Lonchura striata: one gene and its partners. The protein of the gene in region 1 purifies or fractionates together with the protein of each later gene. This does not show direct contact. Links are inferred from orthologs where the notes say so. Each region holds a gene or a part of one and is shown in the gene's direction. Other genes may lie near its edges.

What was found.
Region 2: the proteins of CDK1 (region 1) and CDKN1B purify together in Homo sapiens (affinity purification with mass spectrometry; 8 studies listed by BioGRID and IntAct, counting the BioPlex papers as one, with this or other methods). This does not show direct contact. The link is inferred for Lonchura striata from reciprocal best matches to the Homo sapiens genes CDK1 and CDKN1B.
Region 3: the proteins of CDK1 (region 1) and CCNF purify together in Homo sapiens (affinity purification with mass spectrometry; 3 studies listed by BioGRID, with this or other methods). This does not show direct contact. The link is inferred for Lonchura striata from reciprocal best matches to the Homo sapiens genes CDK1 and CCNF.
Region 4: the proteins of CDK1 (region 1) and CCND1 purify together in Homo sapiens (affinity purification with mass spectrometry; 4 studies listed by BioGRID and IntAct, counting the BioPlex papers as one, with this or other methods). This does not show direct contact. The link is inferred for Lonchura striata from reciprocal best matches to the Homo sapiens genes CDK1 and CCND1.

The regions. Positions count from the first base shown.
Region 1 is NC_134609.1:3,788,050-3,794,936, reverse strand, and holds the start of CDK1 (cyclin-dependent kinase 1), read left to right. Parts: upstream 1-3,885; 5' UTR 3,886-3,944; intron 3,945-4,630; 5' UTR 4,631-4,644; coding exon 4,645-4,681; intron 4,682-6,098; coding exon 6,099-6,255; intron 6,256-6,887. UniProt on the Homo sapiens protein: Plays a key role in the control of the eukaryotic cell cycle by modulating the centrosome cycle as well as mitotic onset; promotes G2-M transition via association with multiple interphase cyclins.
Region 2 is NC_134607.1:10,525,116-10,532,840, forward strand, and holds the start of CDKN1B (cyclin-dependent kinase inhibitor 1B), read left to right. Parts: upstream 1-4,710; 5' UTR 4,711-5,152; coding exon 5,153-5,627; intron 5,628-6,170; coding exon 6,171-6,292; 3' UTR 6,293-6,301; intron 6,302-7,536; 3' UTR 7,537-7,725. UniProt on the Homo sapiens protein: Important regulator of cell cycle progression. Inhibits the kinase activity of CDK2 bound to cyclin A, but has little inhibitory activity on CDK2 bound to SPDYA. Involved in G1 arrest. Potent inhibitor of cyclin E- and cyclin A-CDK2 complexes.
Region 3 is NC_134618.1:2,545,271-2,552,617, forward strand, and holds the start of CCNF (cyclin-F), read left to right. Parts: upstream 1-4,328; 5' UTR 4,329-4,381; coding exon 4,382-4,394; intron 4,395-5,817; coding exon 5,818-5,972; intron 5,973-6,388; coding exon 6,389-6,495; intron 6,496-7,208; coding exon 7,209-7,276; intron 7,277-7,347. UniProt on the Homo sapiens protein: Substrate recognition component of a SCF (SKP1-CUL1-F-box protein) E3 ubiquitin-protein ligase complex which mediates the ubiquitination and subsequent proteasomal degradation of target proteins.
Region 4 is NC_134608.1:55,237,844-55,245,002, reverse strand, and holds the start of CCND1 (G1/S-specific cyclin-D1), read left to right. Parts: upstream 1-4,145; 5' UTR 4,146-4,333; coding exon 4,334-4,531; intron 4,532-6,202; coding exon 6,203-6,418; intron 6,419-6,801; coding exon 6,802-6,961; intron 6,962-7,159. UniProt on the Homo sapiens protein: Regulatory component of the cyclin D1-CDK4 (DC) complex that phosphorylates and inhibits members of the retinoblastoma (RB) protein family including RB1 and regulates the cell-cycle during G(1)/S transition.

The DNA.
Region 1 (6,887 bases):
TTAGTATTCACAAACCAGTTGACCTTTTTAATCCCATCATTATGTAAAAGACAGAAAACACTTTTTCTCTTCCTTACAGTGAAGTTATTGCTGAGGAGAATATAATTAATATATGGAAGACAAGATGATATTGACTCTTGCAGCTGCCCTCTGCCCAGCAGAGAAGGAGCTGTTCAGAGCATTACACTGGGTTCTCAGCCGTGAATACAACTGTAATGCCATAATCCCAGCTCGGCATTGTCGGCCTGATCCCGTGTGCCTTGCACAAACAGCGCTGCACTTCAGGCAAAGGGAAGTCTGGGATGCCAAAGAGGTTTTCATATATGTGCCCCTTTGTCATTTATATAAATAAAATGTAATTAACATGGTGGTGTCACGATTCTTTTGCTGTTTGCCTTGGAGTTTTCCCTCAGCTCTGCATTTCACCGTGTTTTGCTGTGAAGGGGAGCAGCAGTCCTAGGGATTCCCACATGCATGCGTGACTCAGTTTTCAGCAGGCTCACTGCTGCTGCTCCTTCAAGCAGAACAGTAAATCCCTTCAAACACAGAAGTCCCTGCAAACGTACTTGTACCGCTTGTCTCAAGCAGCATCATTAGCTCCTGCCATGTCCAAAGCAATGATCAACCGAGATAAGCACTACACAGACAACAAGAGGGAGGAAAACACAAGGTAAGTGTCAGACAGATGTTTGACAAGTTAATGCCGTGTCGAGTCTATACTTACATGCATTTGGCTCCTAAGCAAGGCAGCTCTAAGGGAGGGCCAGAGGCAGAGGGAAAGGCAGCCTCTGCTGCTGCTGGAGGAAACCAGCACACACAGCTGCACCCTCCACTGCTCTGAGGGGTTGGCATGGCCACCAGCACACCAACGTGGAGACCACAACAAAACAATGTCCCTGAGCTGCTTACCTGATTAAGCCAGCACAGCCTGGGCCCCGAGGCTGACACAAAGGCAGGAGCAGTGATTTCGGGTTTGAGTGCAACAGCTGTCAGAGGGATCTCAAAGCCATCCACCTTCCAGAACTTTCCTAAAGGTCTCAGAAAAGCCTAAACTTGTCATCCTAGGTGGTGACCAAGGGGATGACCAACGGCCTCAAAGAGATCACAGTGCTGTGTGCAGCTGGCTCATGGAGAAGTCCCCTCACATGTGAAACAAGTGGGGTTCCTTCACAAGAGAGCTGCTCTTTAACCAGCTTTCTTTCTGGTGCCTCCTGGTCTTTCCCACTCAGAGCCCATGACACAATGGGATGTATGGAAAAAGGCATATTCTCAAAGAGTTTGAAAATTCAGCGAGCACTCTGAGAATGAACAGTTAGTGCCCAGCTGGAAGGACACTAAGAAATTTATATTTCTAAAAAATAAGCTAAGAAATTCTTGTGTATATTTAAACTAAAGCTAGAAAAAAAGACCTCGCTTTCAAGAAAATTCAGATCAGTGTATTCAGTACTTTCAGACACAGTATATTTTATATAAAATCTCTCTATATTTTCATATAACTTATAATAATTTATAGTACTGTATGATTATTATACCACCAACAACCCCTGTAAATAACTAGGGTTACCATATGTCTGTGACTTCCGAGAAATGTTTTCTTTTCCTCTAAAGGGAAAGTTGGACTTTGGCAACCTACCTAACGTCCCTAGACAAGGATTGGTCCAGCAGCAGTAGCTCAGTCCTGTGCTGACAATAGAAAACAACTCCCCAGAGGTGCAGAGCCAGGCCTGAGGGATGTGTCCTACATTCTGTCTGAGCTCTGCAGCTGATCCATGGGCACTGCTGTGCCCACACTGCCCTGGCTGCTTTGGACTTGTTACACACACAGGGTAGAAATCTTCTGTCACTGTGCAGGGCAAAGCACATCAGGTTTTTTCCTACGAATTGCACAAGATTGCACAAGCCATGTTCCCGTATGGAATTTCCCAGATATACAAAAGCCTTGTTCTAAGCAGGTAAATCCCCAGCCAGTGGTGGGAATACAGGATTCAAGGTAAACAGAGAGCCGTGAGCATGCTCACCATATGCTGCAAAAATTCCCCAGGAGGGAGGGGAAAGTGGAGGGGTTTTACCCCTGAAACACACTCAGAGGGAGGAGTTGGACGGGCTGCCTCCTGCCTTTGCCACAGGGTAGGGATGAGAAGAAGGAAGTGTACCATAAATAGCCCTACTTCCTGGAATCACCATCCCAAAGAAATGCTTTAAGGGAGAAGCTGCACCTTTTTGTTTGCAGCGCCCTGCCCTGCTTACATTTCAGACAAGCAGCAAAGCCATCCTTCAAAAATGCTGTAAACCAGTGCAATGAAGTAATTTTAAAAGGCAGTAACATCAGCAGTGTGAAGAGGTGCCTGTGTCTCCCCCCTGCAGGGACTGTAGGTTTCCACAGAAGCTGTTGGTCCAGGACTGCCAGTGCTGATGATAAATTGGTGCTAGAGTGGGTCAGCAGCACCCCAGAATCCACAGTGGAGCTGTCCTGCAGGGGAAAGACTTGTAAAACTAGAAACACGTGAACTTGGCTAATCTATTTAGCATTTCAGTTTCTCAGTAAAAAAAATTGTTTGTAATATTTTCCCAGGCTTTTTGTTAAGTCGTATACTGTAGCACCACTTTCCTGGGTACCAGTGGAGGAAGGTTGCAGCTGGCAGAGTGCTCACTGAGCAAGGCCCACAGGTGCCTCTCCAATTACATCCCCAACCCTTCTTTCAGAAGCTGGGATAGCACAGCAACTAATCTTTCTTAATCTGGGAGGAGGGATGCAGAACTTTAACTTGCCTACAGACACACATCCCAGCTTCTGGGGAATTAAGTTACCCAATGACCTTTCATTAAGGCACACGCCTTAAAAACAGCTCCCAAGGCCACAGCAGCACTGCCCAGATCAGTGCCCATGCAACTAGAAATAATGAATTTATGGTCTGGCTGGCCATGGGATCCAAATCTAACAGACTTGATTAAAAGGAGAAACTGCAGCATCCAAATGTAACAGACTTGATTAAAAGGAGAAGCTGCAGCCAACACCTAGCCTGGTCCAAACATGATTATACTCCCCAGACTATGCCAACAAAGCCCAAAGTGTTATTCCAGAGGTACCCAGGGTCCGGTGAAGAGACATAAAGTTGGTCAAGAAACTGGAGCATCTCTCTGAGGAGGAAAGGCTAAAGCAGCTGGGGCTGTCCAACCTGGAGCAGAGACAGCGGAGAGAGAACATCATCCCTGTGTGTGCCCCAGGAGGGAACACCGTCCCTCTGTGTGTGTGTCCCAGGAGGGAACACCGTCCCTGTGTGTGTGTCCCAGGAGGGAACACCGTCCCTGGCTGCAGGGACCAGGCGCCGCTCCTTGGGAGCAGCAATGGCAGCAGAGGAATGGGCAGGGGCTAATGCCCAGGAGTGCCACGAGGCACAACCTGACTGTGCGGTGACCGAGCACTGGGGCAGCTTGCCCACAGGGAATGTGCAATCTTACTCGCTGGAGATATTCCTGAACCGTCAGGAGCCTGTGCCGTGTGCTCTGGGACGGCCCTGCATGAGCAGAGAGGTGTGACCAGGTGACCCACGAGTGTCCCTTGCAGCCTGACCCGTTCCGTGACTCTGGACCGTGAGCAGTCCCAGCGCCCCCTGTCACCGGCTCAGGGCTACGCGGACCCGCCCGGCCAGGCTGTCCTCACTCGCGCCGTCCGCGAACCACGGGGCGGTCCGGTGCCCTCTCACCTTGCCGTGCCCGGCCGCGCGGCATTTCTCCATCATTTCCCCCCGCTGAGGAGGCGAAAGCCGCCCTTTGAGCCTCGCTTTGGCGCGGAGCGCGCTGATTGGCCGCTTTGAACGGGCCCGGCGCGGCGCCATTGGCGGAGCGCGGCGAGCGGCCGGTTCGAATGCGCGCGGCCCCGCCCCCGGCCCGCGCGGCGCTGCGGACGTGCCTGTGCGGCGGCGGCGGGTGCGGCGGCTCCGCAGGTGAGGGGCGCGCGGCGGGGCCGTTGGCGCGGGCCGGGCCGGGCCGGGCGGTGCGCGCTGCCGCTGCCCAGCCCCGGGCGCAGCGCGGCCGCCCGGGCCTGCCCCGAGAGCCGGACCGGGAGCGGGGCAGCGCCTTGGGCCGCCGGGAGCGGGGCGGGGGCTGGGCTGCAGCGAGCGCGGCCGGCGGACGGAGCCGGCAGCCCCCGGGGCCGGAGGTAACTCGGCTCCGCTCGGTGTCCGCAGCCCCCCGAGCCGGAGCGGAGTGCCGGTCCCGCTGTCCGCGGCACGCCGGTGGCGCTCCGGGCCGGTGTCTCCTGGCGCGGCCAACACCCGGTGACACAGCGGCCATCCTGTCTGTTTCTAGCTTGTTCTTGAGCCAGTGGTTAGGTAAAAGCTAACCGCTTTTTTCAGTTTCCTGGAGGAGCTTTTTTCCAAGCTTTTAAATTTTTTTTTTTTCTCCTTGGAATCGTTGCCCACTCATACCTTGCGGTATAGTTTTTCTAGGTGGAATTCGGAATAAATATGCTCTGTGTTTTTGTTGATGAGAACAGTTAAGTGTTTTACATTGCAGCTAATTTTGTGAGGCACAACTCGCTTCTAAAGACTTGGCATAGGTTCAGTGACCTGTCTGTGCTCAGGACAGCAACTGTTCACCCTCATTATCTCTTTTTTCCTGTCCATTTCAGGGATAGCCACAACAATGGATGATTACACAAAAATAGAGAAGATTGGGGAAGGTAAGTATGGGGAGCAGTGAGCTTTTAAATGCTCCACAGTTTGAGCTATGAAGTGTCCCAGAACATCTGTGCACTCTGCCTGTTACAGGAAACACTGAGATTCAACCAAGTGGCTAAATAAGCTTGTAGCTTAGTTACTGTGGTACTTATCTATATCTGTAAAACCTTCCAGCCTGCCCTTTTTCGTAAAAGTGACATGGTCTTTGTAAAAACAGCTGATCAGTGCTGAAAAATATCGGCCTTCGTTTTGCTGGCTAATGCTGTAATATTAGTCATCTCCAAAGGGGAGAAGGGAGAAAAAGTATGTTCTGAGTCCTGAAACCAGCTTACAGTTTAGGAAGCTCCCCCATTTCTCTGAATGTGAACTTAGCAGCTGCCCCTGAAGTTGTGCAATGTGTTGTTTTGCTTGGAGCTGCTGGTAGGGAGTACTATTTTCTGGATTGTTCTGCTCTGATGATATATGGGCAGTGTGGGTGTCAAAGGAAAGCAAGATAGCAAAACTCTGTGGAGAAGTGAATTCTTAACATTTACTTCACATTGAGGTACTGAGAAGATGGCCTCAATGCAGGTGTTAGTCACAACCCCCCTGTTACTGGAAGTCCAGCCTGTGTTCCCTGTAGAAATCAGTGTGTTTTATAATACACAGTATAAGGCCTTATGTAGACTTGAAAATTTGAAGTACTATTGCCCACTCTGAGGCAACAGCATAAGGTGTGCTTGGATCTTGCAACAAAGCTTTGTATCCAAAGCCTTGTGCACAGATCTTTTTGAAATAAACTAATTTGGGCTTCATGTGAGGGATTAATGTTTCAAGAAGGGTAAAAAGAGAAGGCTTATGCTGTCTTGGTTTGAGGGTTCTACTTCTCTGAGCATTGATAATTAAGATGGATTGATTTGAGATTTACTCTTGGTTCCGATTTCAGCTTCTGCTGAGATCCACAGCACTAGCCTCTCCTGCACTGAGCATTGTGCCAGAGGTATTTCTACAGCTCACACCCATGGATGGCTGGATCTCAGACTGCAGAAGGAACACTACTTCCATGTGCAGCTAAACCTTTAGCATTTTAATATGATGTATCAATGGCAAAATCATAATCCTTTATAATAATCTTGCCTGGAAGTTAATCAACTTGAAACTCAAATAGTATCTGATTTTATAACTACATCTTCCAAATACTTGCCTTTCACACTTAGCCTTCTAAGTGCCCTGTCCTAACAAATGCTACACTTCATGGGTGGCATGCTTTAAACAAACAAAAATATTGCTCAGGTAAACTCCACAGCTAAGTAGTAGTTTGTAATTTAAACCAATACTCCATTTGTAAGGACTTTTCCTATGTTAGCAGCTCGTGTTTACAATATTATGTGTACCTGAAGCTGGTCCTTCCTGTATTTGTTTCACTGTCTTTTTGTTCAGGTACCTATGGTGTTGTGTATAAAGGTCGTCACAAAACCACAGGCCAAGTGGTTGCAATGAAGAAAATACGTCTAGAAAGTGAGGAGGAAGGTGTTCCAAGTACTGCTATCCGAGAAATTTCTTTATTAAAAGAGCTGAATCATCCCAATATAGTCTGGTATGCATATACTGGTATTTAGCTAAACTCTTGGAGGAGCACTAGGTTCCATCAGATCATAAATTATTTTCCCACTCATCTAGTAAGGTGAGAACCTCTCTGTTTAATGCAATGTCTGCTTTGCAGCAAATACTTTAAATTCCATGTTTGTGCCAGTTTTCTAATTAAGCCTTCCTCATGCTGCCTCTTTTCATTCTAGGAACCTAACAAATTTTTCTTAATTTAGAAATTTCTGTAAATTCAGAGAGATTATTGTGAGAATGGAGGCATGCTTTATGAAAACTGGCTGTAGCTGTTACTTCAGGCCATCTCAGAAGTTTATCACCTTGGAATAGGCCATTTGACTTAAGTGTTCTGATGTTCTCCCTGCTGTTCTGTAGCAAGAATTTAGATGTGTTTTGATGCTGTCATAGCTGGCACACCTGAGCTGTGAGTGAAATTTCCTTCAGTGACTGCTTGACATGTAAAAATGATTGCAGCCACTGTCTTCCCCCAATATACTTGCTTGCTCTTTGATGCAGCAAAATACTTGATCTTTAATGTGCCTTAAAATTGGCTAGGTTCCAGCCAGGTAGTGTCTCAATGTATGTATGTTTGGGTTTAGGAACCCTTACACTCCAATAAGGATGAAG
Region 2 (7,725 bases), on another chromosome or scaffold:
CTCCTGGCTTCACCTGTGCTTCAGGGGCAGTTCAAGCTTGCTCCTATTTTGCACGTCAAACAAAATGAAAAACAAAAATTAAATTGTCTGAGCCAGTCTTCCCTGAGACAAAATCAGGGTATTTCAGAAGGACTCCTTCTTTAGCAAGTCAGGGGGAGTTGGTGACAAGCAGAGAGCTGCAGAAAGCTCTCTCTTTGAAGAATGAGATCTCTCTTTGGAATGAATACTTTCAGTGCTAGTAATTTAACCTGTATCTTCTGCAGACATAACTGTGTAACCTACCCTATCGTTATAGCACAGAAGAGGCATTTCTGACACAGCACCTGACTTTAAAAACAAATCCCATTAAGGACACCCTCAAATCCCCCTAAGGACAACCCAAATCCCATTAAGGACACTCCCAAGCTGTACCTGCAGGAACACCACCACAAGGACTCAAAATCCCCTGGGCTGGTCCTGGCATCTGAGCCCACCCAAGGCTGCTGCAGGTGTTGGCAGGTCCGGGACCCCTGGGCACCCCTGGCCCCACCTGCCAAGAGGGGAGCGGGAGCAGAGCCCGCAGAAGTGCCAGCAGCAGGGATGGGAATGGGACTTGCCCAGGGACAGCACTGGGGACGCTGCCAACAGCAAGGTCAGGTCCTGGCGCTGGCCTGATCTCTGTCCTTAGGCTCCCTCTAGAGTTTACAGCAAATGAGCAGAAGGTCTCAAATGCCACTTGAACAGGAGGGTAGTGTTTCCTTGCCCCCCTAGGGAGTGCTCTGCTCCTGGTCACTGCTGGATCATGTCCCAGAGCCTTTGTACACTGAAGTGGTTCCTTCCTTCCTGACAGTCTCTGCTGCTGAACCTCACCGGGTCCTAATCCTGCCTAGAAGGAAAGGGCTCCTGTTAAGTGAATATTATATGGTGAATACTTGGGGCCTGCACCCCAAATCTCATGGCAGGCTCACCCCACATCTCCTGAAGGAATCAGCACTTGGTGTAAACCTGGAGAGGCGGGGAAGTAGCTGTGGCTTAGTAATAGCTGAGGTGGGTTAGGAGCAAACCTCCAGATGGGTCATGCAATATCTCTGCTTTTTTCATCCTCGACTCTGGAGGACACATCCTGGTGGAGGAGCTCAGGTATGATTCCCAATTTTCCCCCTATTTGCAAGGGAATATATAAAATCCCAAGCAACCTAGATACTTTGTGTGTGCAGTTTGGATGGGCTTTGCTGGATCACGGGACAGCTTTATGAAGTGTTGGGGAAGGCGGGTGGCCAAAAAGAAGACGGGAGGCTTGCCTAAGCGATTCTGGTGGAAAGAGAAACAGCGAGCAGCTCTGCCAGTGGAAAAACCCAAACAAGAGCGAGGAGAGGGGTAGTGGGAAGAGAGGGGATAGGGTGTACAGAGCCTGTTAGAACAGCCACCCAGACCTTCCTACAAACACTCCTCCCTCCTCCCTGCTTCACTCCTCCAAGTTTCGTGCTGTTGTTTGGTTTCCTTTTTTTCTCTAATGCTCTCCTCCGGTCTTTGACTGGCTGAACCGGCCCCGGAGGGGGCAGAGCCGGCTGTGGAGGCTGGAGCTCTGCGGGAGGCTCAGCCCTGGCCCCCGTCCCCACCCCGCACCGCCTCCCCCGCAGCCCCACTGCTGTACCCCTCTTTAACAAGACGATGGCGCTCTGATCTTTCCACAGCTTCACTCCGGGACTTTCGAGTATATTTTTTCCTGTATTTTTTTTTTCCACGTTTCACTGCTACTACGGGCGGGCGCCTGCCTCTGTCCCGATTTGCTGCAGCCATTGGAGGTGCTGACTGTAAACAAAACACTTTAGATCATGGCAAGGTCGCTGCAGACACAGCGTTCTTTTTTATTTTTTCTTTTTTTTTTTTTTTTCGGTTTTTGTATTTTTTTGTTTGTTTTTGTTTGTTTTTTGTTTTTTGGGTTTTTTTTTTTTTTTCTTTCCTCCTCTGCAGCCGCAGCGATTTAAGGTGGATATCCGAGCTCGCATGGAAGAGGTGGGGGGACGAGCCGCGAGAGCCGAAAGAACGGCGGGAACCAACCCCGATCCCAGAGCACGGCCGCCGATACTCCGGGGATGCGGATGCTCCCGCCACGGGGGAGAGACTCTGACTTTTTTTTTTTTTTTTCCTCCTTAATTTTACCCCCTTTCTTGTTGATTTGTCCCAGCGCGACCCTAACGTTTCCGGCGGCACGGGCTGGGGGTTGTGCTGTCCCCAGAAAGACGCGCAGCTACCGCAGCTTCGGGGGTACACCCTCTCCCCTTTCCCTCTCCCCAGTCCCTCTGACAGCGAGGCAGGGTGATAGAGGAGAAGGGACAGAGGGATAAACCGAGGGGCAGACCATTTCTCATTCATTTTCTCCGTTGCTTCCATCAACGGCTTAAATTATTCGCGCCCCTCTTCTCTCCCCCCGCCCCACCCCCCCCCTCCGCCCCTTTGGATTTAATTATTCGTGCTCAATATACTTGTACATCATCCAGGGACTCAGTTTCAGGCCCTTGTGCTAAAGAAAATATAAACAGAACAACAACAACAACAACAAAACCCAGAAGGTTTTTGTCCTACAGTGACTTTTTTTTTTTTATTATTTTATTTTTTTTTTCCAAAGGCTTCAGATAAATCAGTTCTCTCTGTTGCACTGCTGTCATGTTTCTGCTGCTTTACTCGGGTACAGAGTCTTTTCCACTATTTGGAAACCCATACTCCCCACATTTTTTTTCTTTTTCCTAGTTTGTGTTTATACTCTGGTACAACTGTCATAATCCTACAGTCAAGAGGGCTGCCTTTCCCTTGTGGATTAGGGAGACAAGCAGAGACTCCCAGAGAGTGGAGAATGGGAACCCCTCACCTAAGGAATCTCAGGTGGGACACTCAGTAGGTTACCAGCAGGGAAGCCCCCATCGACAGGATGAGCCCTAGGCATCCTTGGACACTTTCTGCAGATCACTTAGTCACAACTTTCTTGTGTGGATCAACAAAACAAGCTCAGTGTCCCTACACCTGACAGAGAAAATGAAGCTTGAAATGGAGTGTTCTTGCTGTTGACAATGGAAGTCAAAGACAGGAAAACCTAGAGAAATGAAGATGAAATCCTGCAAATACAGCAGATGCAGGCCCACTTTTTTCCAGCTGATGGAGTTTTATCATGGACTTGCAACTTGAAAAATAATCTCAGGTCCTGCAGACATGTGAATATTAGCTATAATTTTTTACAAGTGAATTGCTGAAACTTGTAATTTCTGAGAGCAGTTAAAAACAACTTCCAAGTATTAAAATCCCCAGCATATAAATAAAAATAATGTGGCTAATAATGTATTTCAACCTTGTGGTTTTTAAACTAATCTAATTTGTTTTGTTTTGGTTTTTTTTTTTTTTTTTTTTTTTTTTTTTTTTTTTGCCTGTACACATAATTTTTTTGAACTTGGGTCTGATGGTACTCTGCTGAGTGGTGTGAGCATAAGCTGGAGGCCTGGAGGAGGACTGATGATGGCCAGCAAAGTGCTGGCCTGGGTTTGAGCACCGTGTGAAGTCCACTGTTGTGTCCTCTCTTCAATGTGTCCTCCTGCTGTGTCCTTTCTCCCATGTGTCCTCCTGCTGTGTCCTCTCTCCAGTGTGTAAAATCTCCACATTTTCAAGGCCAAACCTGCTGACTCTCATCTCAACCAGTTAAACCAAATTATATAGACCCCTGCCCTGTTGAGATACTTGTGTATCCCCCTCACCCTCCCACAGTGAAGTTTGGATAGATTTGCTCTGCTTGCAAGAGACATGTCCAGATGGATTGGTGTGAAGAGCCTTCAGGGCCTGCCAAAGATTCAGTCACCAGATCTGGACACCTGGAAATGTCACAACCTTTAGTGCCTGAGAGATCCTGCAGTGTCACACAACACTCTGGGGGCCTTCCCTGACTGGTGAGTGAAGATGGCTGTGGAAAAGGGCTGGAGAAAAGGGGGCCAGAGAGGAGTGCACAATTGCTCTTATGTCCACTACACCTGCTCTTAACTATACGAGGAAATTGCTTAGAAAATCCCTGGCTATGACTTTTTGCTCATCTGATCTTTTGATCACACAAACAGGACAAACCCCAATGCTATATTTTTTTTCTTTCCCTGAGTAGCTGACATCTGAAATCCCGGCAGATGTTATTTTAGAGACATTTCTTAATCTAGTCCTCTCTCTGCCGAGAGGGCAGGAGATGATCGCCTTGACACTAGGAGCCATCAGCCCATCTCCGCAGGCAGTGCGCTCAGGATGCTGCGGATCAGGGTGCTGGTCCCCGCGGCATGCCGTGGGGTGGTCAACCTGCCCACTAGCCCCGAGCTTGCCCCCAGCCCCCGACCTCATCGGGGACGTGTCGCCAGAGCCCAGCCCGGCCAAACCAGCGCGGTGAGCCTCTGCTGTCACTGCTCTGACTCAAAACCAGCCGTCACTATTCCTCAGGCATTCGGGCCAGCAGCGGAATGGGGTGCGTGTTTTTGTGGGGTGGCACAAATCCCGTCGGGTTTTGCGGGCTTTACAGAGGGATAAGAACAGGTTCGACAGTGTCGTCCCACCCCTCTCGTTTTCCCTTCGCTCCCAGCTCTCCCCGTCCCACCTTTAGAGCCGGCGGCGGCGGCGGGGCAGGACCGGGAGGACGGGGCGGTGCCCGCCGCTGTAACCAATGGCTCAGCCGGGCTGTTTAAATAGACTCGTCCTGTCAATCATTTTCTTCTTCGTCAGCCTCCCTTCAATCGCCATATTGGGCAACCAAGAAAAGGGCTCGTCTCTTGTTTTTTTCCGTCTCGCTTTTACTACGCGGCGGCGGTGCGATCGGCAGGGGCATCATCGGCACCAGCGCCATCGCCATCGGCGGTGGGCCGGCACCGGGGGGGCAGCGCTGAGCTCCGCTCCTCACCCGCCCGGGGCTTCCCGGCGGCGGCAGCGGCGGCTCTCGGGGCTCATCCCCGGGCCGGTGCTTATGCAAGGGCGCCTCCTCGCCCCTTCTCCGCGGACCGAAGGCGAGCGGGGCCGAGGCAGGGCCGCAGCGCGGGGCAGCGCGGAGCGGAGGCGCGGAACGGCGTCGCCGGGCGCCGGGAAATAAAGGGCGGCGGAGGCCGCGGAGAGAGAGCAGCGAGAACAACAACCGCCGCCTGGAGCTACAGCGTGCGGGGAGATGTCAAACGTCCGCATTTCTAATGGGAGCCCTACCCTGGAGCGCATGGAGGCCAGGCAGTCGGAGTACCCGAAGCCGTCAGCGTGCCGGAACCTCTTCGGGCCGGTGAACCACGAAGAGCTCAACAGGGAATTTAAGAAACACCTGCAGGAGATGGAGGAGATGTACCAGAGGAAGTGGAATTTCGATTTCCAGAATCACAGGCCGCTGGAAGGCAGGTACGAGTGGCAAGCCGTGGAGAAGGGGAGCTCGCCCGACTTCTACTTCAGACCCCCCCGGCTACGGAAAGCCGTCTGCAAGTCCGCCGGCCGCCAGAGCTTGGATGTAAACGGGAATTGCCAAACCGTGGTTTTTGTCGGTTCTCAGGGAATCTCAGAGGACACTCACTGTGTAGCTCAAAAGACTGATGTTTCAGAAAATCAGACGGACTTAGCAGAGCAGTGCACTGCCCAGAGGAAAAGACCCGCAGCCGATGGTAACGTACCCCACGGCTCTGCCCCGCGTCCCACTCGTGTCAGCGCCGGCGCTCCAGCCCTTCCGCCCCTGCCACGCGTGGCACCGGCTCGGTGTGCCCACCACCCCCGCCCCTTTCCCCCTAAAAAAGCCCGGGTAGTGTTGGCAGTCCCGGGGGTCCCGCCTAGAGTGGGAGCCGGTAGATGATTTGCAAGGACGAGCCCTTAGACGCGGGTCAGATTCCCCAACCCCTCGCTGTTCCACTGCGGGGACCCGGGCTCCTGCCCAGGTGGGAGGAGGTTCACAGCGTTCAGCAAAAGACGAATATGGATTTTAGCCGAAAAGAGGGAACTTGGGTCTCCTGCCTAGGGAGAAGCCCATCTCCCCACCCCCTGTTCGTCTCACGCAGCTGATACCTGACATGGGGATCTGGGAATATTCCCCCTCGGCTCCATCTATCCCCCCCTGGATGCCAAGCAAACATCTGGAAGGAAAATATTTTAATATCTTTCTTCCCCCCCCCCCCCCCCCCCCGACCCCTTCGTTTTTAATTTTCACCTCCTAGATTCCTCTCCTCAAAATAAAAGAGCCAATACAACAGAAGAAGAGGTTTCAGAAGACTCTCCCAGTGCCAATTCAGTGGAGCAAACACCCAAGAAATCAAGCCCGGGAAGACATCAAACGTAAAGCGTTTAGGTCAGTTCCCTTTAGGATTTGGCATTAGGATGCAAGTAAGGGAAAGAAGGAGTGACCGAGTGTCTATCCCGCATCTCTAAAGGGGTGGGGAGGGGGCTTCGAGCCCCTGTGGGCTCGCCGAGGGGTGTTTTCTTCGAGGAAGGGTGGCTTACCCCGAGCACTCGGCAGTGGGTGTGTGTTGGAGGGTGGGGAGTGGGAGGTGCAGGGCTTGAAAAGAACAAAACAAGGAGCGAAGCCCAGCCTGGGTTCGGCAGCGTCAGGGGGCTGGGGCAGGGGCTGCGGTGGTACTGCCCCTGCCTTCCTGCGGGATGGGCACCGGGGCCAAGGAGGGCCCTTTCCCAAGGACCGTGCGGATGCAGGGGTGGAGTTGGAAGCGCGGCTGGTGCATGCTGTCAGATGCCAGCGGATTTCGGGGGACTTCCCCTGTTCCCTGCTCCTGGGGCGTTTTCACCTCCAGTGTCAGCCTTACCGTCGCATGTCGCGGCCACCTCGCACTGCGGGAGAAATAAGTCAAGAAGTTTGGTTTAAGGGGAATCCGGGCACTTTCTCAAAATCCGAGCAATGCAAGGTTGTTGTGTTTGGTATGGGGTTCCCGCCCCCCCCCTCCTCCCCCCCCCCCCCCCCCCCCCCGCCCGTTTTTCTTGTGTTGTTTTGGTTTGGTTTTAGAGGCTGGCAGGGAGAAGGGAGAGAAGGGAGTGGGTTAATGGGAGGCTGGGTTGTGCAGGTTTTTTTTTTTTTTTTTTCTTTCCCCTACCCCCTTTTTGTTTTGAGGCGAGGGCTGGTGCGGGGAGAGTTGGTAAAAGTTGCGCTGGCGGTTTGGGAGCCGAGGTTAGGAATGAGGTTTACAATAAAACGATTTGTGATTGTGCAGAGAGATACTAAGCTGTAAAGCAGAAGTTGCAACAAATTAGTCCCGCTGGGGTGAGCCGTGGCCGAGCGCGGCCGTGCGAATGCCGCCACTCCCGCCCGCTTTTAGGGGTGGGGGCTCGGGAGGGGTCCCTCCGCGTTCCCCGCCGAGGGATGGAGGCTCGGGGCCGCTGGCAGCGGTGCGAGAGCACGGCCGGCGCGGGGGGGCGGCAGGGGCCCCGCCCGGGCCGGGCCCGCCGCCCTGGGGATGCGGTGTCGGTTTGAACCGGTTGCACCGCGGATCGCGTTTCTTGTCGATGTTTTCTAATCGCTTTCCCCGGTCTTTTTATTCTTTTTTTTTTTTTTTTCCTTCATTATTCCCGTTGCAGAACAGAGGATATGCGTCCTCGTTCGTCGGGTGCGGCGGGTGGCGATGAAGAGAGAAAGATGAAGAGTTGTAGTGGGAAAGGAAAAAAATACATATCGCCGATCTTCGGGACATGGAGGTCCTGTACAAGCACTGAAAAAAAACAAAACAAAACAAAAACAACCAGCAACAAAACAACAGCAACAAAAAG
Region 3 (7,347 bases), on another chromosome or scaffold:
GATGTGTGTAGCAATGAACATCTTTCTCACATGGATTTGTGAAAGTGGAGCTGATATTTCCTGGCTAAGAGATATTTTGAACAAATTTTCAGTTTTCCTAGGAGAATATTGCTGTTGGATGTCTTGCTTAGATTCCATGGTCTCAGGCCCTTGGATCTCTTCAGAAGAGGGATCAACACCTTGAGTGAAACTGGAGCTGGTAACAACTCTTGCCCCCAGAGAATCCCAGGTTTGGCAGAACCATGAGTAAGTGTTACACCTGTGTTGAGTTTTGCTTAATCACAGCAATCAAGGCAAATAAAATGTCTTTGTTGTATTTACCTTCAGTTCCAGAGCTAGCAGAAGAGAAGGAAATGAGGAGCCATTTGGATTGAGGAGAAACACAACACTCTGCAGGCTCTTCAGTGGAGGAAAAGGCATATATAGGAAATCATTGAATCCCAGAATGGTTTGGGTTGAAGGGACCTTAAAGCTCATCCCATTTCATGGGTAGGGACACCTTCCACTATCCCAGGTGGCCCCAAGATCTCTTCAAGCTGGCCTTGAACACTGCCAGGGATGGGGCAGCCACAGCTGCTCTGGGCAACCTGTGCCAGGGCCTCTGTGGGTCTCAGATTCAGTCAAAGAAAGAAATGGAGAGTTTCTAGCCAGGCAAAAAGCCTGGGAAAATGCTGGGAAAGAATGTAAGTAATTCTTTATCTCTCTTGTTTTTCACATTGTTTATAGTTAAGTTCTATCACTGTGTGTCAAGCACTCTGCACCAATGGTGGTGGGTTGTTTTCACTTCAGAACCAATGGATTTGGTCCTTGGGAAGCTCTGTATAAAAGAGCGGTGTATTTTGAATAAATCAGAGTATTACTCTCAACAGCCTTCTGAGTCAGAGTTCTTCATTCCCGTCCTGCCTCGACAGCAACAGGCCTCGGCACCCTCACAGGTGTGTGATAAGGACAGTGATAGGACAAGGCTTAAGAATGGCTTAAGGCCTTTCCCCGTTGTGAAAAGTCCCTCTCTAAACTGAAATCCAGCTCAAGACTTGGCAATACAGATTAAAACATGCACAAATCTGCCTTCTCCTCTGTAGTGACTGACTCTTCGATGTGTAGAGGCTTCCCAATTGGTGCAGGTGTGTTTAGGATGGCGTATCCCACCCAGCACTGGCTGCGCGTTGGTGAATGTGCAGGTCCCGCTCCTGCCCTGCCTGCCGCCTCTGAGCAGGGGTTACAAGGCACAGGCTCAGCGGAGTCAGATGGCTGTGTTCAGGTAACACAAGTCCCACTTCACACCCGTCAGCCTCTGCTCCGGCTTGTCTGTCAGTGATAAAACCACCTGGAGGTCCTGCCATCCTATTCAGGAAAGAACAAATCAGGCCAAGATGTACTGCTGCTGAGAATCTCACCTCCCACCTCCCAGTGCCCACTTAAGTTTTGGTTATTCCTGTCCCTCAAATATAACCCTCTCCATGCCCTGCCTTCCTCTTCTGCTGTCATGTTTGGGAAGAATGGGATCTACCTGAGATGACTCTGCACTGCAGATCACCCAAGGAGCTGGGATCTCTTGCTGGGATCTGAAATCTCTGTAGGCAGCTGATTATTCACATTTTGTTTGCTGGTTCAATTTATTTTTAGTTGACAGAAACAGCTGTGAGGGGGAGAAAAAATGAGGAACAGAAGCTGACAGCATGATTAACTTTTTAACTCAAAATTGCTTCTCAATTAAAAGAATCTAAATATTCCCTGTGCTCCTGGTGTCAGTTTGCCATGCTGGCAGCTGCTGCGCTCCCAGGAACATGACACAGTTTCACAGATGGAAGTGGAGGTGGGGCTGCACAGGAGAAAGACTGTCCACAGTTGCTCCTCCCTCAGGGGTCACCTCATGGGACTGGGGGACAGTGCAGGAGGTGAAAGGTCCAGCGTGGCCAGCGCTGTGGGGTGGGCTCAGAGAAGCCATCAGGCTACTCAAGCTCAGCCTCCCCAACCATAAAATGAGATCTCTATTGAGATTTCAAAGCTATTCCAACCCCTCGCAGGTGAAAGGGTGCGGGTGCAGAGAAGCATTCAGAAGTTCATGTTCTAACAATGAGAAGTGCTGGTAAAATCTTCAAACAAATCTCATACACGCTAGCATGAAGAAACCTCAGCTCTGCCGGGACTGATGATGTTTATTCAAGGTACAATGCTGGGAAAGTTTCCAGCCACCAGTAATTGGGGTGCAGACATTTCCTGTTCTATAAAACAAGAGCTCCTCTTCTCACTGCTTTTAAGTCTTATGAGTCTTAAAATTCAGAAAAGTCTTCAGCCGAACTAACTCGATATCTGCTTTTCCCTACATTGTTTTGTTTGCCTGCCAGTCTTTTCAATACACCTCCTTGTCCCACTCTGCCCTTTGCCTTTCCTCTGAATCCCGTACTGAGGTTTGAACTTCGATTCCCAATTGTTTGCCTAATTCCCCCTCACCCCCACAGAAGGCCAGGAACAGAGGTGTGCTGGGAAGGGATGGGGCAAGGTTGCAGCTCAGGACATCAGAAACAGACTCTGTCCAGGCAGACCCTGGCTCCTTCCCCCAGCAGGAATCATGGAATGGTTCAGGCTGTAAAAGACCACAGTGGATCAAATGGTCCCACCTCCCTGCTCAAGAAGGGTCCCATGACATAGGATCGTGTCCAGGTGGGTTTTGATTATCTCCACCGAGGGAGAGTCCACCCCCTCTCTGGGGAGTCTCTTTAGTGCTCAGTCACATGCACAGAAAAGTTCTTTCTCATGTTCAGGTGGAATATCCTGTACTTTACTTTTTGCCCATTGCCTTTTGTGCTGGACCCCCCTCTTATGCTCTGACCTCTCCCTGCAGACACTGACAGATATAGATGAGGGCCACTCTCAGCTGTGTGTCCTCTTGAGGCCGAACAGCCCCAGCTCCCTCAGCCTTTCCTCAGCAGGGAGATGCTCCAGTCCCTTTATCACCTTCCCTCTGTGGACCTGCTGGAGCAGGTCCATAGGAAGCAATGGAGATGCTGCAAGAGCTGGAACCCTCTTGCTCTGGAGCCAGGCTGGGAGAGCTGGGGGTGTTCAGCCTGGAGAAGGCTCCAGGGAGACCTTAGAGCCCCTTCCAGTATTTAAGGGGCCTTCAAGACAATTGGAGAGGTATCTGGGACACAGGCCTGGAAAGAGAGGACAAGAGGGGATGGCTTCACACTGATAAGGTTAGCTGATTAGGAAGAAATTCTTGGCTGTCAAGATGAGCCCTGGCACAGGCTGCCCAGAAAAGCTGTGGCCACCCCATCTCTCCAAGTGTTCAAGTCCAGTCTGGACAGGGGTTGGAACAACCTGAGATAGTGGAAGGCATCCCTGCCCATGGCAGGGAGTGGAACTGGATGGTTCTTCAGGTCCCTTTCATTCTATGGTTCTACACTCACTCCAGGATCTTCATGTCCATCCTGTCCTGAGGAGCCCAGAACTGGACACAGCATTCCAGATGAGCCTCAGCAGGGCTGAAGAGGTGGGCAGGACCCCATCCCGGACCTGCTGGCAGTGCCCTTCCCAGCCCGGGATCCCCCACCTTGGCCCCAGGACACAAGGCTGGTCAGGGACAGTTGTGACCCCCAGAGCCTTCTCTGCAGAGCTGCTGTCCGGCAGGTTACCCCAGGCCGGCCTGGGACACGCAACCACCTCCGCGATGCTTTAGCTCCAGCACGGACACCCTCAGGCGCTGCATGTTCAAGGTGGAAATCATTAGGCAGTAATAAGCCCCCACTGCTCCCCTCAACAGCTCCCTTGGCGAGGCAGCCTCGGCTAAGTGTAGGTGACTGTGAGCGACAAAGCACCAGCAGGGACGGCTGAGAGAGAAGAGACTCCTGGTCCCCGGGGGGAGCCGGGGCCGCCGCCGTGCCCCACAGCCGCCGCCGGCCCGGCGTAACGAGACTGCGGGAGCGCAGCGGCAGCCCCGTGAGGGAAGCGCCGCGGCCCCGCCCCACTGCACCGCCCCGCACGACAGGGGGCGCCGTGCCGCCCGCGCATGCGCTGCTGCGCCACAGGTTTGAACCGCCAACTGCCCCGATTCGAATTCGCATCCTCGCCGACCAATCACAGCGCGCGGGGCGGGAACGGCCCCGCCCCCATCGGCCTCCTGGCCAATGAGAGAGGCTGCTGTGTTTAAAACAAGTGCGCGCGGGCGGTGGGCGGGGTGGTGGCGCGGCGGGCGGGCCTGGCGGGCGGGGCTCCCGCCGCTCCCGGCGCCCACTGGGCGCGCCCGCGCCGCGAGCGGGGCGTGCCAGCCCCGCGGGCCCCGCCCGCCCGCGGCTCTCCGGTCCCTCCTACGCCCGGGCCGCTCTCTCCGAGCCGGGCAGGGCGCTGTGTCCGTCCGCGCGGTCCCCGCGGACACGCCACGATGAAGGCGGGCGGTGAGTGCGGCTCTGCCCGCGGCCTCCGCGGGTGCTGCTGTTTCCCGGGCCTTCCTGCGCTGAGGGGCGGCTCCAGAGCGGGTTCTGCCTGCCGGGCGCCTCCTGAGGGATCTGAGGGCGGGGGTTACCGGAATACTCCGAGCCTGGGCTAAAGGACCGGCAGTGGGCTTTGGAGCCGGGCCAACGGCTTCGCGCCCAAATTCAAACGCGGCGGGGGCGGCCCGGCCCGGTCCGGCCCGGCCCGGCCCGGCCCGGTGGGTGCTCGGGACCGGCTCTGCCCGTGCGGTGCTCCCCGCCGGGGCCGTGCCTCAGCCCTTCCGCGACCACGGCGTCCGTGGCTGTGCCTGGCGGCTGTGCCTAAGCGCGCCTGCCCTCAAAGCCAAGGGGTCAAGATGTGTATTGCGCGTGGGATAACATCTCGGGCGTCTGTGAGTTTGCAGCGTGCGCAGGACTGTGCAGGAAGCCCCATTCAAGAGGCAGAGAAAGTGTTTTTTTACTGTAAGAATGCCTGAACTATGGTAATTGATTGGCCAGAGCAATTGTGGGATCCACATCCTTGGAGTTGCTCAAACCTACCTGGATGTGGTCCTGCCCCACTTGGCGGGACAGCTGAACTGGGTGACACCCAGAGTTCTCTCTTGCAGCCTAAACCGCTCTGGTTTCGTGAAGCAACATATTTGAAATCAACCTGTGCCACATACTGTCTATAGAAATGGAGTTTTCACTGAGTTGCTCATCTACACCCTGGTCCCTATTTGGATGCTCATATAGGCTGAACTGGCATCCCAGTTTGGGTGTCTATTTCATTTTCATGGCAATAATACTGCTGAGGATAGTACATTTTGTATACATATATATGTGTGTTTGTGTGTATTTCTATAAATATTGCACTGAAATAATATTCCAGAAGATATAGGCAATGGGTCTTCCATTAGCACCCCTGGTAGCAACTGCTTGGAAAGATAGGCTTGAGTAGGTTTGGTTGTCTTCCTAATATCTCTGGTTGTGTTCCAGAGACTGCTGTCAGTTGAGAAGGAAAAGTTGGGGCATGGGGGAGGTAAATGCATTGACAGTAGTGTCAGCTAAACTATTTGTTACTACTGAACAGGGACAGCTGAACTGTTTGCTGCTACTAAACACGGTCACAGGAGTCAGGGCTCAGAGGGGCTCTTGGTGAAGAGCACTTGAGCTTGAGCCACCCCTTCTGAGTCTCTTGGCTTCATTAACCAATTTGAACAAGCCCTTTCTGCTCTGTGGCATAATGAGGTATGAGGTATATATCCCTGGTTAATGTGTTTGCAGTGTCCTGCACTGCAGTGAAGAGGTGCTCAAGTGAACACCTGTGTATATATGTAATACTATGTAGTACCTTTTTGCCTTTATGCTCTCACTAACTGAGGTGTCCTGTGTTTCTCTTTTCCAGTGGTTCACTGTAGATGTTCCAGATGTTTTTCTTTCCCTTCAAAGAGAAGGGTAATAAAACGGCCTCGAGTCCTGACATTCTTGAACCTCCCCGAGGATGTTCTGTTTCACATCCTGAAGGGCCTCCCTGCTGCAGACATCCTCTCAGTCAGAGCTGTAAGTGCTGCAGCTTCCCCTCTGCCAGGCTCAGTGCTCAGCTCTGCCTCCAGGAGCCTGGACTGCACACAGAACAGGCTTCTCATGTCACAGAGCCTGAAGAAACCCAAAGAGTGCCTGCAAGGTTGAGATTTTTGCTGTCCCAGGGACTTTCATTTCTCACTGCTCAAGTTAAGAGTAGCAGCAGTATTTGACTGCTTTTTGTTCCTTTTCTGTGGTAATTGTCCTGCCAGATTACTGTGGCTGAACAAATGGGTTTGGTTTGGCATCTCTTGCCTTACTGGTTATGAGGCAGGCAACAAGTTAAACATAACTTGTGACGAATTAGTTACTTCTCTAAAATAAGATTGCAAAGACCTGTTTTTCTGTTGTTCCTTTTATTTTGTTAATCATTATTTTGTGTTCCCTCCCTGCAGGTGCACTCACATCTTAAATACCTTGTGGATAATCATTCCAGTGTTTGGGCACATGCAAGTTTCCAAGACCTGTGGCCATCTCCAAACCATCTGAGGATGTTTGAAAGGTAAGTGTCAAACATCAAATTTGTCTGGCCTTTTAGAAGAGGACGTTTGAAGGAAGATTAACTGTTCTAATCAGTCCTCAGTGTAATTGGGGGATCTGAGTTGTACAAAGAGGGGAAATATTTGCTTTGGAAATGAAAAAACATGTGATTTGAGATCTAAGCTACAGCTGATCACTGCTGTCTCTTTAACCAGAGCAGGGCCTATTGCATATACCAAAGTTGTCTTCACAGGCATTAATATTCCAGATTGGAATGTAACACATTCCTTAAAACCACTTTCTGGTGCTCCCATGTGAATGAACGTGTGGGGTCAGGGGTTCTAGAAAATAATCCTGTTTCTAAGTCTAAGTTGGCTTGGTCACTTCTTGTGCAAACCAGTGTATTGAAAAACAAGTGAATTTCAGTAACAAAGTTTGAAACAGCAACAATAAATCTGCTTTAAAAATATGAGGAACATCTTTTTATCCATCTGTTTTGAAGGGGATCCATTGGTGTCAGAGATTTCTTTAACATGTTTAAATGCCATGATAATGGTTTTGCTTCTGAGTGTCACTTCTTTTTGAGGCAGACCAGTATGTGCACAACAGCTGGGGAGGGAGGAATACAAGGGCTTGATGTTTTGATGGATGTCCTTGAGGGCACAAGGACCAAACTGGAGATTCTGGTGCTAGGAAGGATTTTAACCTCCAGTGCTTTCTCTGTCTGCCCTTCAGGGCTGCTGAAAGTGGTAACTTTGAAGCTGCTGTGAAGTTGAGCTTGGCGTACCTGTACAATGAAGGCCGTAAGTGTGGGAGCTTGTCCTGGGGCTTTGGGGAACGTGGCATAGCACAAGGAAGTTTTACATTGCTCTGC
Region 4 (7,159 bases), on another chromosome or scaffold:
AAGGTTCATAGAATGCATACTTGTCCTTCAGAGAGGTGCCAATCCACTTTACAACGAAGGAGCAGAGTGGCTGAGTGTCTCAGAATGGTCTGAGGGTTGCAAACATCTTGCAGGTGACCACAGCAACACCCCAGCTCCCAGAGTCTTGCCAACAACAGCACCTCACTTTAACTCAACAGAAAGGATGAGAGACCATCCTTTCTGAGAGCATTTCTGCAGTGGATGTGATCCATACTGATTTACTGACATTTATGGGGCATTACGCCCAAAATCGATACAAAACATCTCCCTGTGTTTTTGTTGCCATTTCTTTTTTGTTTAGTTGTTTTTTAAAGAAAATAATAACATTGTGCTTCAAAACCTTCTGAATAAGCAATTCAACAACACATTTCCAATGGTATTTATTTATGTGGCTTTTGGATGACAAAGAGCGAGTGCCATTTTGGGGAATAGAGAAAATGTTTCTTTATGTTGTAAATAAAATGTAAATGCTCTATGTGGCCAAGATGTGCTTTTTCCTACCTCACATATCCATATCAAACCCCAGTGTCTGTGCTGGCCATTTTCATGCTGGTATATTACCAAAACATACTGTCAGCTGAGCAAAACAGAAACTGTACAAAACCAAAATATTCTTCACTAAAACACTTTCACTTTAAGGATGCTGATGCTTAAATACATTGTTTATTCACCTTGTTACTGTCTGCCAGGCTTCCTCTGGTACCTCTCCCTGCACTGGCTCACTTCTGGCATGGCCTAACAGGAAGTTTTCCTCCATGAAGAAATGAAACCTTGCTCCCTGCTTCTTTTTTCCCCTGCACTTAGGCTTTTTGTGTTTTCTTACCCCCAGGATAAACTTGGGCTGAATTCCATTAGTTCTGGGTCTGGCCCTGCTTTTTTGGTCCCATCAGTAACAGCTCATCATCTTGGGACCCCCCAGCCATCCCTACCTTCCCTCCCACCCAGGCTCATGCCTCTCCCCAGCTTGGTGATGGTTCCCCTACAGAAACCCTCTGTGAGCTTTGCTCCATCAAATTCCTCATTTCACCAGCCCCCCACGGCTGCCCTGGGGTTTTGGGCACCGCAGGTGAATGCCTCCAGGTGGGTTTGGGATGTCTCAGAGAGACCCCACGCCCCCCTTGGGCAGCTGTTCCAGAGCTCTGCCACCCTCCGTGTGTCCCTGCCCTTGAGGTGACAATCCTTGTGCTTTGTGTTTACGGCCACTGCTCCTCATCCCGTTGCTGGGCACCCACTGAAGAGTCTGACACCTTCCTCTCGGCACCCCTTGGAGGTTTTTATAAGCATTGATGAGATGCCCTCGCAGTGTTCCCCAGCTCCCTCAGTCTCTCCTCTCAGGAGAGCTGCTCCACACCTGTCATCGTCTGCCTGACCCGCTCCAGCAGCTCCTTCTCTTCCTTGTCCAGAGGAGTCCGGAGCAGGAGTGGGTTTTTTTCTGGGGTGGGTGTGTGGGGGGGAAGACGTTCTCTTCCGCTGCGCTGCTCTTCGCGACATTACGGCGAGCACCGGCACGCCAGGAATGCGCGCTCCCGCGGCGGGGCCGCGCGGCGCGGCGGCGCGCAGCGGCGGGGGCGGGATGACATCATGAGAAAGTGGCGGCCCGGCCTCGGCGCCGCCGGCAGCGGGCGGGCGCCGCGGGGAGGGGAGCGCCGGGCAGGCAGCGAGCGGGAGCGAGGGAGGGAGAGCGGGCAGGAAGGAAGCGCCGTCGGAAGCCCCCGGGGGCGAGAGTGGCGGAAGCGGCCGCAGCACGCATCCCGCATCCAAGGATGGGCGGCTGGGGAGCGCACCCCGAGGCTCCGGTGCGGGCAAGGCGGCGCGGTCTCGGTGGCTCGGGGACCGCCCGCTGCCGCCGTCGGAGCGAGCGGGGGCGGCCCGGCGGCGGCTCCGGCGCTGCCACCCGCCCCGTCCCCTTTGTGTCGGCGGGACCGGGCGAGCCCCGGCCTAGATCTGCCCGTCCCGCCCGGTAACAGCCCCGCGCCGCCATTGGCTCCCGCGCCGACGCTTCCTGCGGCCGCGCCGCCCCGCGGGGGCTCCCCGGGCCCCGCGCCAGCCCCGCCCGCCGCCGGCACCGCCCGCCCGCCGCGCGGCCCCGCGTCCCGCCGCGCTGCTTTTATGAATGGAGCGGCGGCCGCGTGCTCCGAGCGGGGACAGGCACCTCGGAGAGCCCGCTCCGACCGGCGGCCACCGGCAGGATGGCGAGGCTGCGCCGCGCAGAGAGAGGGACCCGCGTGGCTCGGCGGCGCGGCCGGGAGCAAATGTTCGGAAGGAAAGAGCTGGCACGGTCCAATGGAATGCGGCCGGCTGCCCCAAGGGCTCGCCAAACCAGCTGCTCACCAGAAAGGTGTTGGGGGTGCAGGGTTGTTAATTAAATAGGGTCCCCCCGGATGTGCATCCAATTCCCACCCGACAGCGCGGGGTCGTGCGTGCTTCTTCATTTGATATTAAAACCTTTCCGGCCAGCTAAACTTGTGGAAACAGAAGTGGGCGTCCTGTGCGTGAAGCACAATAGACAGGCGGAGGGACAGGGGACAGCTTCCTCGCTGAGGGACCCTCCGGAGTCTCCCCATGGGCTGTGGCGTGCAAGGGGAACTGAGAGCGCGGGGCCTCCGCCATCCTCCTCCTCCTCCTGACAGACGGAGACAAAATGGAGACAAATGGTCAAGCAAACGAGTAAATGAGAAAATGGGCAGACGGTCCATGCAAAGAGATTACATAAACACACAACTGTGCAACAACATGCCCTGTGATCTTTGGCACTGCTCTCCCTGCAGGTCACGCAGGAGAGATGCTGGGTCCTCCATGGCTAGCCACCATCTGCAGTTTCTGCCGTCAGCGTTGTACCCCGGGCAGGTATTTGACACCCGGGTGATGCCAAAGCATCAAGGCTGAGGTTAATCCGTGCACCCCAATTTACAGCCTTCCTGCTTCTCCCTATGCCACTTTGGGGCAGGACAAGTCACTTCTCCCATGCATCAGCCTCACCTCCAGTGCTCCCCAGTGGGCCTCGAGTTGTGCTGTCAACTCCTGGGAAAGTGAGGCTTTCAGAGATGCCCTTTTTTAACAAACAGTGGGAAGCAGAGCGTCCTCAGGTACAGCAGGCTCGGCCGGGCAGCGGGCGTTATTTATGGTGGGGCCCCTCCACGTGTGGACAGAATGTCCTGTAGACACGGATGAGGCCCCTGCAGGCTCTGGCGGCTGCCAGCACCTCCCTCCCAGCCCACCAGCTCATCTCCCCAGAGGTGCTGGAGGGAGCCCTGGCCTCCATTTTGCTGCTCCGCTGGGATATTTTCCCTGGGTGGAGGTGAACAGTGGGGGTGAGGTGCGAGCGTGGCCTTCCCCGGTGTGCTCTGCCACCGGCTGCACCTCGGATTAGTTCTCGCCCCGTCCCCTGCCATCTCCATGCCCCTCTGGGAAGGCAAAACCTTTAAAGTGAAAGGAAAGACCTTAAAAAAAAAAAAAAAAAAAAAAAAAAAAAAAGAGGTTGTAAAATAACCATCTTGGCAGAGGGGTGGACACCTCAATTGTTTTAAAAAATTTGGTGTGCAGTAAAACCATCCTGGCTGGGAAAATACAGGACTGAGGAAATAGGAGAAAGGCTTTCCCTTGGAATCAGCTACAAAGAGTAGGCATTCAGGTTGGGAGTGCGCCTTTTTAAAGGACAGCGTGGCAGCTACATGCCAGTGACAGCACGATTAATAATTAATAATAATAATAATAATAATAATAATAATAATAATAATGATAGCAAACAGCGAGGCGCTGGTTCTGCTCCACTCCCCTCCCTGGCGCCCCTGTAAAATAATACGAAGTCTCCTTGCATTTCTCTCCCTGGTGTCTGTGTGTGGCCTTAGCCCCATTCATCATTTGGCTCCCAGTGCAAAACTCGCTCCATTTTTAAAATTATGCATGATCCACTGAAGAGACAATTTGGGTTTCCCCCACTTCTCCCTTGCCCTTGAAGAAAGCGAGCCCTTGTCTCATTTGCATTAAAACCCTGCTCTCTATAAGTTAAGCAAAGGGGAAGGACTTGAAGCCTATGGGATGGCTTTAGGGCTCTGCCCCTTGCTTTTGGCTCTCTCTCTCTTTCTCATTCTCTCTCGTGCTTTGATCTCTGCTTAACAACAGTAACGTCACAGGGACTACACCAGGAGAGTTTTGTTGGAAGTTAGAAAGTTTTGCAGCCTCCAGAGGGCTGTAGCGGCAGTAGCAGAAGCAGCATCCAAGGGACTCCTGGAAGGGGAAGAGAGAGAGCGAGCGAGCGAGCGACTGACTCAGTCCTGCTGCAGAGAACTGACTCGAGGCGACGAAGGCAGACATGGAACATCAGCTGCTGTGCTGCGAGGTGGAGACCATCCGACGAGCCTACCTGGATGCCAGCCTCCTCAATGACAGGGTGCTGCAGACAATGCTGAAGGCGGAGGAGACCTGCTCGCCCTCCGTCTCCTACTTCAAGTGCGTGCAGAAAGAAATCTTGCCATATATGCGGAAAATAGTTGCCACTTGGATGCTGGAGGTTTGTATCTTTTCGGGAACTTTTCCTTGCAAGCTCCGGCACCGAAACGAATTAATCCGGGGAGCCGCTGCCCCGTCGCCTGCCCCCACTCCCTTTCCCCGGGGTCGCTTCCCCGGCGCGGCACACGTTGCATGCCCTCGTGGAACGAGGCGGCGGTGGCCGGCTCGGTGTCCCCGCTGCCGCAGCCGGTCCCGGCGCCGAGGGGCGGCGGACGAGCCCTCCCCCCCCACACACCCCGGTGCCCCCGGGAGTCGGGGGGTGCCCGGCAGCCTTTCCGGCCGTCGGGGATCGGCGGTGCCAGCGAGGGGAGCCGGGGCAGGGCCGGCTCGGGGCTGCCCTGGCCCGGCGGGGAGCGGCTCCGGCCCGGCCGCCGATCCCCGGCCGCGCGGGGCCGCCGCCAGCCCCTGCCAGCTCGTGTTTTCTGGGGATTTTATTTTAAATTAATATCCCTGTACACGTATGCAAGCGGCTGCCCGTGCCAGTATTATGCGCCATCTTTGTTCTTTTTATTTGCAAAGAAAAGTGTTTATTAATCGGGAGAAAAACGAAGAAAGTCCCGGGGAGCAGAGCCAAGGGTGTGTGTGTGGCGGGGGGGAGCGGGGGAAGGCGCCGGGGGAGGAAGGTCGGGGGCCGGGGGACCCCGCTGGGGCTGCGGGCAGGGGGACCGGCTGGAGGGGCTCCTGCGCTTCTGGGGGGAGTTGCAGGGTGAAAGTTCCTTTGTTCAACGCGAAGAGAGGCTGGAGCTGCGGTCACCCCTCAAAGGCACGCTTGTGCTGCGGCAGCGATCGGCAAGGTCGCCTGGGAAAAGCCAGTTTGAAAGGGCCTCGTCCCTGGCGGGACACGTCCGAGGGGGCTCCCAGAGGGAGCCCCAGGAGCTGGGCTACATTTTCATGCCTTTTCGGAAGCCCTGGGTGCCCGTGATGTATTTTTAATTAATTTTTGAAACCGCAGCGCCCTGCCTTGCTCTGGGGAAATGTCGCGCCGGGCTGTGCTGCAGGGCGAGAGAGGGAGGCGGTGGATTTCACTTCGGGGGATCCCCCTGTAGCCCCCCAGCAGGACCAGAGCCACGGGCCTCGGTAAAGGACCCCCGCTGCTGCATTTTCAGCCTTTTTTGAGAGCTCGAATTATTTTTTAAATATTTTTAAATATTTTTTGAAAAGATGACGTCTGGGGAAATGAGGCTGGACGCCACCTTTGTGTCTCGACCGGAGAGGGGAATCGGGAGCACAACGGCAAATTAGATGAAAAAATAAAAGCGAAATTAATAAATCCGGGGCCCAGCCCGGATCTGCACCCCGTTACCAACCACGGGGGTTAGCGTTTTCCCCCGATTTCCGTCTTCTTCCCTTTTTAAAAATTTGTTCTTAAGGGCTGGAAAACTGGGCGCAGACCTCTTCTTCGATAACCCCCCTCCCCTTTTGCCATGAATCACCTGCGGGTTTCTAACGCAACATTTCCCCCCACTTTGTCACTCGTGACTTTCATTTTCTTTGATGACGCTACTTTCCCCATATTTATGTATTTTTTTCCCAAATGCGTTTCCCCCTTGTCTCCTTCAACCTTGCCCTGCAAAGCCTGGTGGTGAGGGAGGAGGGAGGGCGAGAGCAGCGGGACAAGCCTGGCTTTCGCCTCAGTTAAATTATTCTTCAACGATCTCTCTCCTTCTTGCAGGTTTGCGAGGAGCAGAAGTGCGAAGAGGAAGTTTTCCCCTTGGCTATGAATTATTTGGACAGATTTTTGTCGTTCGAACCCCTCAAGAAAAGCCGATTGCAATTGCTCGGAGCTACCTGCATGTTTGTGGCTTCAAAAATGAAGGAAACTATTCCTCTCACCGCAGAAAAACTGTGCATTTATACAGATAACTCCATTAGACCCGACGAATTACTGGTAATTTCACGTTCGATCACTTCAGGAATTTAAAAAAAAAAAAAATCGAAATAAATATTAAAATATAGATATACAGAGCTACAGGGAAAGGAAAAAAAAAAAAAAAAACCAAAAAACAAAAACCAAACGGCGCGTTCGGAAGCTGGCGGCAGGCAGGGATGGGGCCGGGATGGGATCGGGAGCAGCACCGGGACCCCCCCGGCCCGCGGCGCTGGGCGGCCCGCGGGCTCCCCCTGCCGGGCCCGGCGGGCGCTGCCCCGGCCCGGTGCCGGCGCGGGGGGACCCGCGCACCCCGCCCCGGCAGCGGGACAGCGCTCTAATCACGCTCCCCCCACTTCTTCCTCTTCTCTCCTTCCCCCTTCCCGTCCCTCTTCTCTTTGCAGCAAATGGAGCTGCTGCTGGTGAATAAGCTGAAATGGAATCTGGCTGCAATGACCCCCCACGATTTCATTGAACATTTTCTTACTAAAATGCCTCTGGCAGAGGACACCAAGCAGATCATCCGTAAACATGCTCAGACTTTTGTGGCTCTGTGCGCTACAGGTATGAGCCCTGCACGTTGCGCAAAGCGCGTTGCTCCCCGACATGCGCCCACCCCCCGGCTTGTAAAGCTTCCCGTAGCTGTTGGTCTCAGGCGCGCTCGCAGAGCTGCGGGGAGGTAGTTTAAGCCCCGATTATTGCCCCTTGTTTGCAGAAGGTGGATTACTTTGCCAGAGGTAAGTTTTTCTTTTCAGAAGATAT